Yarrowia lipolytica: one gene and its partner. The protein of the gene in region 2 purifies or fractionates together with the protein of the main gene of each other region. This does not show direct contact. Links are inferred from orthologs where the notes say so. Each region holds a gene or a part of one and is shown on either strand. Other genes may lie near its edges.

Region 1 (3,440 bases), on a different chromosome or scaffold from region 2:
ATGGCCTCATAAGAAATGCAGTATCGGACGGCTCTCACTTGTTCTCCCGCTTAATAGCAGGACCTCCCATACCCTCTTCATAATCCTGTAGAGCCTGCTCCCACTCTTCGTCCGCAGTCAAAGGTCTAGTGGCCTCTTCTGCCTCCTTGAGCTTCTCTTCGTGCTCCTTTCGCGCTTCCTCATCGTATTCGTCCTTGTAATCGATCCACCGTTCCTGGATATCAGAAACTCCACCCACATATCCTCCCTGTCGAGTTGCTTCCGCCCAGAACGAGTCTCCGCCGACCTCGGTACTTCCAAACAAGTAGCCTGTCGCCTTATCTATAGTTGTGAGCAGCTGGATCATGCTCTTTTTGTCCTCCACCGCCAGCACCTCGTAGGCTACCAGACCGAAGTCTTCAACTACCTCTGCAATAGCCTCCGTCAGCTTGGCATACTTGGTCATTCCTGCCTCCTTTTCCAGCAGAGGGAACAAGTGGTGCAAATCCTGCACTTCTGTGTAATAGTCGAGGTTGAAGTCGAGCGTTCCATAGCGGTGGATCAAGTCGATCTTGCTCAGCACGTTCACCTGGGGCAGATCGAGCTGAAGCATAGATCGCAGAGTGAGCAACAAGACTGACACGTAAAGAGATGGTTTGGTGATGTAATGCGAATCGACGAGGTTGACCACGCAGAGACGCGCCTTCTCCTGCTTTTCCAGCCGCTTGAATATCCTCTGCAGCGCGCCATGATGTGTAAACAGCTCCACCTGGCCGGGACAGTCGAACAGCAGGTACTCATTGTCTCCCAGCTCCTTGATCTTGTTAACAAACCCGTCCACATCCGTCTCCACCTCCTCCAAAGCATACATGATGCCTCCATTGGGTCCCAGGTTCTGTTCCGTCATGACATCCTCCAGCTGCACAAAGTCTCGAATGTCCAAAGCGCACGGATACTGGACATGGTCGTTGGCAGGATCCATATTGATCACTGAGACTTTGCGACCAATGGCATTGAGAAACTGGTACATTCCATAGGCGTAGGTCGATTTTCCCGACCCTGGCGGTCCGATAATCAGCTGTCCGAACATGTTGTGTGTGGTGTTGGTTAGTTTGACAAATAATTCTGGCAGTAAGTTTCATGCAGGTTGCGGTAAGGCGGCGTGCAGTGGAGAGTAGTTATCGAAAGGTGGCGAAGGGAAAATGAGGTTGGAAAGACAAGACAGAGGAGACATCGACAAGGTGATTATTTTGAACTTATTTCTGGTCAAATCCGATATCGGGAAGCGTACTTTGAAGACTATCTTATCAGCCCACAGATGGAGGTATGAGAACACTCTGCGTACAGTCCCAACGCAGTATTTTACAGAGCTAGTTTTTGCTACTTTAGTGCATACTGTACATACTGTACTGGTGGTAATTAGAGAAGACAAATGAGCTGTTAGGGACATCGATATTTTGTTCATATGGAGAGTGTTTTTGTCCATATTGTGGGTAAATCAACTCCCCCATAAGTTCTCTTTCGATTAATATAACTTTTACATTGACCGCTACTTTACAAGTTCCCATCACTGTTCACTACCCTCATGGTGGCGTTAGTTGAGTTTACTTGACTTGTTTTTAATATACTTGGCTTATACTTGACATCACCTTTCATTCAGAGCTTAGTAATTATGACCCATCACGACACATCCATCGCAACAGACGACCTGGGCCACTAAATCACACACTCTCCACTCATTTGACACCTCTTATTTTCCCCTCTTTCGCTCCTTTATCCTATCTCAACTACCACCATCCAGGTGGCAACTAACTCTATCTGGTGCGTGCATCACCACTCTCTATTATCACCACATCACATCAACCTCATCACATCCCATCTCTCAACACAGAAATGACGACAGTAGAACCCGCGCAGAACGGATCGGCACCAGCAGTCCCCACGACTCTGGTGTCGTCATTGCCCTACGAGCAAGTGACGGTCGCCCCCCTGGTGCTGCTTTCGGTAGTGGACCATTACAACCGAATCGCCATGAACACAAAAAAGCGGGTGGTCGGCGTGCTTCTGGGCGACAACACCGGCAACACGATCCGAGTCACCAACTCGTACGCCATTCCCTTTGAGGAAGACGACAAGCAGCCCGACGTGTGGTTTCTGGACCACAACTTTGTGGAGAACATGGGCGACATGTTCAAGAAGATCAACGCCAAGGAAAAGCTCATTGGATGGTACCACTCGGGTCCCAATCTGCGAGCCTCCGATCTCCAGATCAACGAGCTCTTCAAGCGATACACCCCCAACCCCCTGCTACTGATTGTCGACATCCAGCCTCAGGAAGTGGGTGTCCCCACCGATGCCTACTTTGCCATTGAGGACATTAAGGACGACGGCAGCGCCACCGACAGAACGTTTGTGCACGTGCCGTCGTCCATTGAGGCCGAGGAGGCCGAGGAGATTGGTGTGGAGCATCTGCTGCGAGATGTGCGAGACGCCGCGGCCGGCAACCTGTCTGTGCGAATCACCAACCAGCTTATGTCCCTGCAATCGCTCCACAAACGGCTTCACGAGATTGCAAACTACCTGCAAAAGGTGGTCGAGGGCCAGTTGCCTCTGAACCATGTGATTCTTGGTAAGCTGCAGGATGTGTTCAACCTGCTGCCCAACGTTTCTGTTTCGTCTTCTGACGACTCTCTCACCGACGCTGCTAAGACCACTGACGAGCGGGCCAAGGCCTTTGCTGTCAAGTCCAACGACGAGCTCATGATTGTCTACCTCTCCACTCTGGTCCGAGCCATCATTGCCTTCCACAACCTGATCGAGAACAAGATCGAGAACAAGGAGAACCTCAAGGAGGAGGAGGATAAGGAGGAGACCAAGGAGGGAGACAAGGACAAGAAGAAGGAGTGATGCATTTGCCATGAGGGGAGGAGGGAGGATTGTTATAATAGCCTCGAGTAGGTGGGCTCTCCATTTTTGCCCAATAGATGATGTATTCATAAAGAGATGTAGGACTGGGACGGGGTGTTGATGTATCTACTGTGATCAGTACAGCCACTGACGTATTTTGTATTATTTATGCTCTCTTTCTCGTTTATAGGGTAAAGAAAAGCTGTTTTTTGATTGTGCTGTCTGAAGTAAGCCAACAAGTATAGTATGTACATACGTTTACGCAAACTTCTTTGAGGGAAGACGCCCAAGAGAACTGAAAAATGTATGAAACGATTATATGATGTATTTAAATCCCTTTTTTCGATTTACAGCCCGATCTGTTCACTTTTTCGCCGGTATTTATCACCTCCGTCATTTCTCGTTCACCCCACAAGGCAATGTTGATCCAAGCTGGGTAGAGTTGGTATTGGTCATCTGAGATGTGGTACCGAGTGGATGGAGTAGTGTAGAAGAAGCTGAAAAAAAGTGCAAAAGTGAAAAAGACGAGGGAAAAAACATATTTTCGTGCGTTT
Region 2 (3,495 bases):
GTTGGTGATGAGTTTAAATTTCACATTTCTGCACGCCGTCATACACCGATGGGTAATCACACGACAGTGATAGGAGGGGGAGGGGAGAGGATTGGAGGTAGGATTTAAGTGGAGTTGTTAAAACACCGGGTATGATTAACTGTTCTATATATTGATAACGTGTGTAATATCTCCTATTTCATGGGTGTGAAGTACTTGTACTTGTATCTCTTTGTGAGGAATGACAGAAGTTTAGTTAGACAATGGTTAGACAAATATGAGTGATGGTTTATACTTGTAATTATAGTAATCAGATCAACTGTTGAAGCTCCAAAAAAAGCAATCAATATAAACAGTGCAAGTATCGTAGATAATCCAATTACCCGTCTAAATCATTAGCAATGTATCATTATATAGTTGTTTCTACTGGTGCGCTCAACGCATCTTGTCGCAAATTAAAACATTTACATCATCATTAGGTCTATGACTACATCATCTGACTACATATACACCGGCACCCCCTAATCCCGGCTAGGCTTCTGTTTCTTGGCCTCTGCCTCCTTTTCTTCCTCAATCTCAGCAACGTACTCAGCAATGGTTTCCGTGCTCAGAACCTCGGTAGGGTTGTCGGCAGACAAGATGGCAATCTCAATGTTCTTGGCTCCGGTCTGGACAACCTCCAGCAGACTCTTGATAGCCAGCCGAATGGTGGCGGCTTTGTCCATATCCTCCTCGTAGTTCTTCTCCAGGAAATCTCGTACAGTCTTGGAGCTCTTACCGATGGCGTTGGCTTTCCACGCGTTGTAGATTCCAGAGGGCTCTGTCTGGTACAGCTTGGGCACCTTGTCGTTGGGGTCGAATCCAACAATCAGAGTAGAAATACCGAATGGTCGTACACCACCTGACTGGGTGTATCGCTGCTGAACACCAGCAATGTATCGGGAGATGTACTCGACGGAAACGGGGTCTTCAACTGTGAGTCGGTGAGACTGAGCCTCAACTCGGGCCTTGTCGACGAGGATTCGGGCGTCGGCGTTCAGACCGGCAAAGGCCAGAGACACATGAGTGTCCAACTTGCAGATCTTGGAGGGGGTGATTCGAGGGTCCTGGAGCTTGAGAGCAGACCGCTTCTCGCATCCCAGAATGACGACATCCTTGCCCTTGACACCGACGGCTGCGGTTCCTCTCTTAACAGCCTCCAAGGCGTACTCCACCTCTGTTGTTAGTATTGTCTCTTGCTGGTTGGGCGTTGGGGTGTCTGTCTATCGCCACCGTCCATCGCCATCCTTACAACAGATGCAAGAATCGCAATGGCAGTAGACGTGGACAGATCCAACGAAACCCAACTATCCTGTCGTACCGACGCTGACGTCGGGGCGAGATTGTGACTGTTGCCACCTCTGTGAACGTTAGTGCCACCTGGATGTCTTGTTCAACTTACGGAAAACGTGTCCGTCGGGACTGTGTTAGTAATCAATCGATAATTGTGTGTGGCACTTTCGTGTGCAAATACTCACCTGAATACTGAAAGTGCTCTGTCGTAGCCGCTCATTGTGATTTGTGTATGTGTGGTGAGGGACTGATGCTGAAGTGGTTGGTGGTGGCGAACTCAATGTGTGATGATACAGCCTGCATACTATTGATTACAGTAATAGTGGACATGATCGTCAACTAAGTTAGAGAGGCAAGGTTCAAGTGTTGGAAGCAGAAAATAGCCACCAGTTCACTTGTACTGTGGAGAGAGTATTCAAGAGAGTAAACAATAAAATGTTTATACTTATTAAAGCAATTCATCTCGGCAGGTCTCATTTATGTATTTAGGTGAATTGTGTAGTTCTGTTACATGGAGCTGTCTGTATACATTTCAGGCGACATTCAATCTCCATCACCTCAATAATTTACAAATAATTATACACTTCGGCTACTGTACACATACCAGTACAATTAATGAATTAATTAATGAATCTAAAGGAATCTAAAGGAATCTAAAGGAATCTAAAGGAATCTAAATAAGAAGCTGAAGGGTTAATAATGTAAGTGATTCACTCTCAAGTGGAATCCTACTTGAGAGTGAAGCTGGTGGTCAGAACAAAGTCTCGCGAACTGTGGCCTACGTAAACCTTGTACTCTCCTCGTTGGACCCGCCAGCTCTGAAGTTTGACATCCCAGACCGCGAGATCTCGCCATTGAACATCGTATAGAATTCCCTGCCGTTCTCCCACCTTGAGCTCGGACCGTTCGAATCCTCGAAGCTGTCTAGGAGCGGTTTTAAGATCGTCGTTATCCTGAGGGAAGGCAATGTACATCTGGGTGACCACTCCAGTATCATAGGGACCATAGTTAGACACGCTGTGGACAATGTAGACTGCAGAGAGCCACAGAGCAGGGTTGCCTCCGACAGCCCCGCCGTTAATGTTGGTACTGTTGGACTGCTCACTGGAGTACCCCTCAGGATAGGGATAATGGGTCTCGTTAGAGAAGATCTCCGAGGTATCGTTCAGGTATGGATAGACGTACTTGTTCAAAGGATCAATGTCACTGGGGAAGACGGACTCATTGGCGTGAGGAGTAAATGCGTTCTTAGGCTTGTTGGGGTTCGAAGGGGCAAAGGGAGTGGGCAAGAACTCAGGAATGCTAGGGAAAGCATACCGGGCTTCGAGATTCTCCACCGTAATGTTAGAGTAAGACAGACCGTAGCCAAATTCAAACCTAGGAGTCACCTGGTTCTCGTCGAACCGTTTGTAGTCCAAAAGAGTACCCTCAGTGAAATAGTCTTGAGGAAGGCCGTCTTCAGGGATCTTAGTAGTAAGAGGAATGTAGTCGGTGTCATTCTTGGCAATAGTGAAAGGGAGTTTTCCTGAAGGGGCGATGTCGCCGAAGAGAATAGAGGCTGCAGCTCTTCCTCCAAAGTCACCAGCGGGTCCAGTGAGAAGCACGGCAGTGACGTTTGGGTTGTCGATCCACTTTTCGAGGTTCACAGGGCCGACAGTGGTAACAACAACGATAGTGTTGGGGTTCTTAGATGCCACAGCCTTGACAACCTCGTCTCCATTGTGCCACAGCGTCAAGTTGTTTCGATCCCCAATGTTGCCGTCAACAATACCAGTACTCTCACCGGAGTCGGAAAGAACAAAGACGACACTGGCGTCGGCAGCAGCTGAAAGGATCTCAACGTTCGACAGGTTACCCCAAGATTGCGTAGTGCCTCCGATGGTGATGTTGTCCTTGGAGGCTCTCTCCTTAATGGCGTCGTAAGGAGATTGATAATCGGTAGGGTAGACGGAACCGGACCCCCATCCCTCAATAAGGGCGCCATCACTACACTGCATATTTTCTCCACAGACAGCTCCAAGTGGGCCGGTTTTAGAACCAATACCGAAAATGTTGAGGTTTCCAATATTGGTAGGGTTCAGAGGAAGAGTCTTCTTCTCATTCTTGAGAAGAACAAGCGCAGCGTTTGCTCCATCAAGAGCAGCCTTGGTAGTGTACTGGTCTCTCACATCAATATGTCGGTTA

What was found.
Region 1: the proteins of YALI1_B18811g (region 2) and YALI1_D25216g purify together in Saccharomyces cerevisiae (affinity purification with mass spectrometry; 3 studies listed by BioGRID, with this or other methods). This does not show direct contact. The link is inferred for Yarrowia lipolytica from reciprocal best matches to the Saccharomyces cerevisiae genes PRE6 and RPN8.

The regions. Positions count from the first base shown.
Region 1 is NC_090773.1:2,519,711-2,523,150, forward strand, and holds YALI1_D25216g (uncharacterized protein), read left to right. Parts: upstream 1-1,872; coding exon 1,873-2,886; downstream 2,887-3,440. Other genes in the region: YALI1_D25208g (uncharacterized protein), read right to left, coding at 35-1,069. UniProt on the Saccharomyces cerevisiae protein: Acts as a regulatory subunit of the 26S proteasome which is involved in the ATP-dependent degradation of ubiquitinated proteins.
Region 2 is NC_090771.1:1,879,932-1,883,426, forward strand, and holds YALI1_B18811g (uncharacterized protein), read right to left. Parts: upstream 1,532-3,495; coding exon 1,497-1,531; intron 1,441-1,496; coding exon 1,421-1,440; intron 1,196-1,420; coding exon 501-1,195; downstream 1-500. Other genes in the region: YALI1_B18845g (uncharacterized protein), read right to left, coding at 2,040-3,495. UniProt on the Saccharomyces cerevisiae protein: The proteasome degrades poly-ubiquitinated proteins in the cytoplasm and in the nucleus. It is essential for the regulated turnover of proteins and for the removal of misfolded proteins.